Macaca mulatta: one gene and its partner. The protein of the gene in region 1 purifies or fractionates together with the protein of each later gene. This does not show direct contact. Links are inferred from orthologs where the notes say so. Each region holds a gene or a part of one and is shown on either strand. Other genes may lie near its edges.

What was found.
Region 2: the proteins of MAGEA10 (region 1) and QSER1 purify together in Homo sapiens (affinity purification with mass spectrometry; 3 studies listed by BioGRID and IntAct, counting the BioPlex papers as one, with this or other methods). This does not show direct contact. The link is inferred for Macaca mulatta from reciprocal best matches to the Homo sapiens genes MAGEA10 and QSER1.

The regions. Positions count from the first base shown.
Region 1 is NC_133426.1:158,383,534-158,387,091, reverse strand, and holds MAGEA10 (melanoma-associated antigen 10), read left to right. Parts: upstream 1-1,345; coding exon 1,346-2,458; 3' UTR 2,459-2,950; downstream 2,951-3,558. UniProt on the Homo sapiens protein: Not known, though may play a role in embryonal development and tumor transformation or aspects of tumor progression.
Region 2 is NC_133419.1:32,354,603-32,358,454, reverse strand, and holds the start of QSER1 (glutamine and serine-rich protein 1), read left to right. Parts: upstream 1-989; intron 990-1,676; coding exon of another isoform or gene 1,677-1,741; coding exon 1,742-1,838; intron 1,839-3,852. UniProt on the Homo sapiens protein: Plays an essential role in the protection and maintenance of transcriptional and developmental programs.

The DNA of each region.
Region 1 (3,558 bases):
AGAACCTTGCTCTCAGAGGGTGACTGAAGTCAACACAGGGAGCCCCTCTTTTCTACAGACACAGTGAGTCGCAGGATCTGACAAGAGTCCAGGTAAGGAACCTGAGGGAAATTTGAGGATATCCCCAGCCCATAACACAGATAGGGGCCCCACAGAAATCTGCCATGACCCTACTGTCACTCTGGAGAACCTAGTCAGGGCAGTCTGCTGAGGCACCCTGTCTTATACAAGGATCACTGGTCTCTGGGAGGGGGAGGTGTTGGTCTAAGGGAGCTGCACTCGGGTCAGCAGAGGGAGGGTCCCAGACCCTGCCAGGAGTCAAGGTGAGTACTGAGGGGACACCATTCTCCAAACGCACAGGATTCAGCCCCACCCTGCCCCTCCGTCAGCCACGGGAATTCATAGGGAACTGTGGGTAGATGGACTCCCCTCACTTCCTCTTTCCATGTCTCCTGGAGATAGGGCCTTGGTTTAAGGAAGTGGCCTCAGGTCCACAAAGGGAGGGTCCCAGGTCCTATCAGGCATCAAGATGAAGACCAAGCAGGCTCCTAACCCCAGGACACATGGACCCAGCTGAATATGGCCACCTTTTGCTGTCTTTTCTGGGAGGACCTCCGCAGTTGTGACCAGATGTGGGTCCCCTCATGTCTTCTATTTTGTATTAGGATGTAAACTTTTGATCTGAGAGTTTCTTAGACCAGCAAAGGGGCAGGGTCCAGGCTTCTCCAGGAGAAAGGTGAGAGCCCCTGTGTGAGCACAGAGGGGACTACCCACCCCAGAGTAGTGTGGAACTCACAGAGTCCAGCCCGCCCTCCTGACAACACTGGGAGGCTGGGGCTGTGCTTGCAGCCTGAACTCTGAGGGTCCCTCAGTTCCTCTTCCAGGAGCTCCAGAGACTGTGAGGTGAGGCCTTGGTCTAAGGCGGTGTTTTCAGGTCACAGAGCAGAGAGGGCCCAGACAGTGCCAGGAGTCAAGGTGAGGTGCATGCCCTGAATGTGTACCAAGGGCCCCACCTGCTCCAGGACAAAGTGGACCCCACTGCATCAACTCCAGCTACCCTACTGTCAGTCCTGGAGCCTTGGCCTCTGCTGGCTGCATCCTGAGGGAGCCATCTCTCACTTCCTTCCTCAGGTTATCAGGGGACAGGGAGACCAAGAGGTCAAGAGCTGTGGGACACCACAGAGCAGCACTGAAAGAGAAGACCTGTAAGTTGGCCTTTGTTAGAACCTCCAGAGTGTGGTTCTCAGCTGTGGCCACTTACACCCTCCCTCTCTCCCCAGGCCTGTGGGTCCCCATCGCTCAACTCCTGCCCACTCTCCCACCTGCTACCCTGATCAGAGTCATCATGCCTCGAGCTCCAAAGCGTCAGCGCTGCATGCCTGAAGAAGACCTTCAATCCCAAAGTGAGACACAGGGCCTCGAGGGTGCACAGGCTCCCCCAGCTGTGGAGGAGGATGCTTCATCATCCACTTCCACCAGCTCCTCTTTTCCATCCTCTTTTCCCTCCTCCTCCTCTTCCTCCTCCTCCTCCTCCTGCTATCCTCTAATACCAAGCACCCCAGAAGAGGTTTCTGCTGATGAAGGGACACCAAATCCTCCCCAGAGTGCTCAGATAGCCTGCTCCTCTCCCTCAGTCATTGCCTCCCTTCCATTAGACCAATCTGATGAGGGCTTCGGCAGCCAAAAGGAGGAGAGTCCAAGCACCCTACAGGCCCTGCCAGACAATGAGTCTTTACCCAGAAGTGAGATAGATGAAAAGGTGACTGATTTGGTGGAGTTCCTGCTCTCCAAGTATCAAACGAAGGAGCCGATCACAAAGGCAGAAATACTGGAGAGTGTCATAAAAAATTATGAAGAACACTTCCCCGTGGTGTTCAGTGAAGCCTCCGAGTGCATGCTGCTGGTCTTTGGCATTGATGTAAAGGAATTGGACCCCACTGGCCACTCCTTTGTCCTTGTCACCTCCCTGGGCCTCACCTATGATGGGATGCTGAGTGATGTCCAGAGCATGCCCAAGACTGGCATTCTCATACTTATCCTAAGCATAATCTTCATAGAGGGCTACTGCACCCCTGAGGAGGTCATCTGGGAAGCACTGAATATGATGGGACTGTATGATGGGATGGAGCACTTCATTTATGGGGAGCCCAGGAAGCTGCTCACCCAAGATTGGGTGCAGGAAAACTACCTGGAATACCGGCAGGTGCCTGGCAGTGATCCTGCACGGTATGAGTTCCTGTGGGGTCCAAGGGCCCATGCTGAAATTAGGAAGATGAGTCTCCTGAAATTTTTGGCCAAGGTAAATGGGAGTGATCCCAGATCCTTCCCACTGTGGTATGAGGAGGCTTTGAAAGATGAGGAAGAGAGAGCCCAGGCTAGAATTGCCACCACAGATGATACTACTGCCATGGCCAGTGCAAGTTCTAGTACTACAGGCAGCTTCTCCTACCCTGAATAAAGTAAGACAGATTCTTCACTGTGTTTTAAAAGGCACGTCAAATACCACATGATCTCACTCATATGTGGAATAAAAAAAAAAAAAGTTGATATCGTGGAAGTAGAGAGTAGAACAGTAGTTACCAGAGATTGGGGAGAGGAAGGAGAAGAGGGGCTTGGAAGCAGTTAGCCAACATGGAAAATTACATTTAAACAGGAGGAATAAATTCTAGTGTTCTGTTGTGCAGTAGGATGACTATAGTTAACATTAAGATATTGTATATTACAAAATAGCTAAAAGGAAGGCTTTTCAATATTGTCACCACAAAGAAGTGATAAACGCATGAGGTGATGGATACACTACCTGATTTGATCATTATACTACATATACATGAATCAGAACATCAAATTTTACCTCATAAATATCTACAATTGCATGTCAGTTTTTTGTTTTTGTTTTTTTTTAATTTACGAAAACAAATGAAAAGAGAAATCAATGAAGTATGTAGTGGAGGGCCAGGCTGAGGCTGAGGAAAATACAGTGCATAACGTCTTTGTCTTACTGTTCTCTTTGGATAACTTGAGAACTTCTTTTCTTTTCTTCTTGGTATTTCTTCTTCTTCCGCTTCCTCTTCCTCCTTCTCTTCTCTCTTCCCTTCTCTTCTCTTCTCTTCTCTTCTCTTCTCTTCTCTCTTCTCTCTCCTTCTCCTTCTTTTTTTTCTTTTTTTTTTTTTTAACAGAGTCTCACTCTATTGCCCCGGCAGGAGTGCCCGGGCAGTCTAAGCTCACTGCAACTTCCGCCTCCTGGGTCCTGGGTTCAAGCGATTCTCCTGCCTCAGTCTCCTGAGTAGCTGGGATTACAGGTGCGTGCCACCATACCTGGCTACTTTTTGTATTTTTTAGTAGAGATGAGGTTTCACCATGTTGGCCAGGCTGGTCTCGAACTCCTGACCTCAGGTAATTCGCCCGCCTCAGCCTCCCAAAATGCTGGGATAACAGGTGTAAGCCACTGCACCCAGCCTCTTCTTGGTATTTTAAAATGTTGTTACTTTTACTAGAGAGTTTATGAGCTTCAGAATCTAAGGTCACACATTTATTTCTGTTTATCCAGTTTAAGAAAGA
Region 2 (3,852 bases), on another chromosome or scaffold:
ACAATGGGGGAAACTGGAATATGACCTATATATTATATGATTATTGAATTAATGCTAAATGTGTTTAATAGTGATATCTGGTTATATAAGAATGTCCTTGTTCCTATGAGATGTACCTGATGATATCTCCCAAGTTATTTTCAAGTTGTTTAGCAAAAAAAAAGAAAAGTGTGTGTGTGTGTATACACAAAAATAAATGATGTTACAAAATCTTAATAGTTGTTGAATCTTAAGGGACAGGTATATGGGTGTTCATTGAAGTTTCGATTTTTTCTATGGGTTTAAAATACTCAAAATAAAAACATAATCTTTCCTTTCCAAGGGGAGGGGGTAAAAAAATCTTGTTTTGGACTACTCTGATAATGTTTGAGCTTGAAGTTTTCTCAGTGAGTTATTGGGAAATAGTATTAATTCTTTTTTTGAATTATCTGTTATTCCATAGAATACTATAATTGGGTTATGGAGGTTATTTCATCTGGTCCTTTTTTTATACAGATGAAATTAGTCCAACAATAATTGAGTCACTTATTTAAATTACACAGTAAGCCAGAAGTAGAGCCTATACAATGAATTCAGCTCTCTGTTGTCCAGGATATTGCTTTTTCTGCTGTACCACATTACCTCTCCCAGTAAAAAGACTCTTGTTTGAGGTAGAGTTGAATTAAAGAAAATACTGTATATTATTTTTCTCCTAATGCATCTTAAATATATTTTCTCCATTGTGATAGTATCGTCAGACTGTGTTTGATCCACTAATCTATAGGTCAGGAAGTTGGTCAAAGGTTTCTACTACTTTTATAGTTGCTCTTCTAGAAGTTTTTTTTATCAAATGGTTTGGACTGTATATTTTGTTCACTGATTTTTAATGTCCTCTAGTTTAAGCTATGAAGAAGGACATCCCTCACACTCTGAAACAGATCTCCTTCAGAGACAGAGTTTTGCAGCCTCTCATCAGCTTCCTGGATATGCTCCCACACCTCAACCTACTGGTAACAATTCTCTTGTGAAATATACTATGAGTCTGGGTACATTTAGTGAATAAGAAGGAAAACCAATTTTCATGTGTTGGGTTCTGAATGTGTAGGACATACTCATGCCATGGGAAATGAAATGAGAGTATAAGCTTGTTTTTTGTTTTTGTTTTTGACACTGCTCTGTTGGCCGGGCTGGAGTGCAATGGCGTGATCTTGGCTTACTGCAACCTCCACCTCCGGGGTTCAAGTGATTCTCCTACTTCAGCCTCCCGAGTAGCTGGGACTACAGGCGCCTGCCACCATGCCCGGCTAATTTTTGTACTTTTTAATAGAGATGGAGTTTCACCATATTGGCCAGGCTGGTCTCAAACTCCTGACCTTGTGATCCTTCCACCTCGGCCTCCAGAAGTGCTGGGATTACAGGTGTGAGCTGCCGCACCCGGCCAAAGCTTTGGTTTTTACCAACAGGGAATATTTATATAATTAATAAATTAAAAGATCTTTTTTCATGTATCTTTGGAGATTTTAAATTATAAATATGCTTGGTCAAATTGATATGTTTACTATCAAAATAAAACTATTTGGGGTTGTAGAATGTTTTGGCCTCAATTTTCAGAAATTTTAAAATAGAGTCAGGAATATAATTTTATACAAGTACATATTTTTTTTTTACTTTGGGATATATTTTATCTTCCAATGTAGGTCTTTCTGGAATATTTGATACTAGTGTGAACAGTGCCAGCAGTAACACTAAAGAGTCTTCAGTGATGAATTTTCTGTCTACTGCTGAATCCCGAACTGCTCAGGCTGCTGCTTCAGGAACTACTCTCTTACCACAGTTCAGGGCTCCATCCTGGCAGACAGGTGATTCTCTGTTTTTAGAATTTTTAAGTCCTATAAAAATGCTGATGAAAAATATATATTTGATGGCCTTGTCATTGTAGCTGGGAGTTTTGTTACAATATTGATTTTCCACTGAACTCTAAGACCTGGAATTTTTCAAAATTTTCAGGTGAATAAAATTCAAGAATTTATTACTGGCAGAAATTTCGTTTTAGCATTCGACAAAAACTAATAAGTTGACATTGAGGGGTAGATAATGATTAAAGAAGGTCTGATATAAGGTTTATATCTAGCAATTACTTGTCTACTTGAAACAAGCAAATATTAAAATTTATTTTAGTGACTTCAAAATGGATAGGTGGTATAGTAAAAAAATTCTTGGGACTCATTTCATTGTTAGTGTTATATAAAGTTATCCTTAATTGGATAGATTAAATCATTAATAAGAGCCATTGCAAGTTGATATTATGATGTGCCCATTTTCTAGCAATAATTACAAGGTCTATAATGTGCTTTTCTATTTCATTTTTCTTATTTTACTTTTCAACCGTTTCTCATCAAAAGTTATATTTCTGTTTTTTGTGGTATGACAGGAATTTTTTTTTGGAGTTTTTTTTTGAGTTTTGTTGTCTTAAAGAAGAAATGTTATAGTGTATTTGAGAATATGTTTTTAAGGGATAGCTATAGGAAATAGTATTTTAACATTCTCATGTAAATTCCACTAATAGAAGTTTCTCAGTATACCTTAGTGACATTTTTTTTCCTGCTTCTAAGGAGATAATTAATGATTTGGTGAAATAAAATATTTTAAAACACAGCTTTATTTTTACTGCCTGAAATAATTTTATATTTCATGTATTTTCCTATTAGTATATTAGTTAGATTTTCCTATCTGTATATTAGTGCTGAAACTTGAGAGTTGAAGAAATTTTAAAACAAAAGAAAATCTGTTAATATTTCTGTGAAGTGTTTTTACTCTTGTGTAGTTTGTTTTTAAAGTTTTTTTGGCTTTTTAGGTTTCAATTTTGTTTTGTTTTGTTTTTTGAGACACAGTCTCACTCTGTCGTCCAGGCTGGGGTGCAGTGGCACAATCTTGGCTCACTGCAACCTCTGCGTCCTGGGTTCAAGTGATTCTTGTGCCTCAGCTGCCCGAGTAGCTGGGATTACAGGCATGCACCACCATGCCCAGCTAATTTTTATGTTTTTAGTAGAGATGGGGTTTCACCACATTGGCCAGGCTGGTCTCAAACTCCTGACCTCACGTGATCTGCCTGCCTCGGCCTCCCAAAAGCGCCCGGCCTAGGATTCAATTTTTAACAATTCATTTTTACAATTATTTGTTAAATTGCATTGAACAATTCATTTGTATCTGATCCTATAATTGAATTGCATTCAGAAGGGCTTGGACTCTCAGGTTAGTAGGTAGAAGTTTTTTTATTTTTATTTTTTCAGAGCATGACTGATATTACTATCATATGGACATTTAAAAGAAATTTAATGGATTTTTGAGCACATTAAACTGGACCTAAACTAATGTACTCTAAATGGGAAATAAAAATGAAATTGAGACAAAAACATACACAACATATAAATATACCATTAGTTGGAAGAAGGTATTAGTGTGTTAGCATAAGGAACATCTTCTTTTGACATGTTTGAGATTATAATATGAGCATTAGATGCATTTCAAAATAGCTTCTGTGGGCATACTGTGGTGAATTTGCTAGCCTCTGTGACTCCCTTCTACATTAATCTAATAAATCATGCAAGTAAGTCAAGTAAGAAAGATCTTTTATCACTCTACTGGATAGAAGGATTTCAAGAAATAGAAGCTCCTTACCACCACTTTAAGCCCCAAATATTCTCTGTCCTTTCTAACTAGCCTCTTCCTCATTCTAGGCATAACTGTGATAGTGTCAGTCACCATGTAATTACAATTGGTTCTTTAAATATGATTTGATATATGTGACATAAAACACTTACCTCATAATAACCATTAAAACTGAATCCATTATTTGTAACTTTACATTTACTT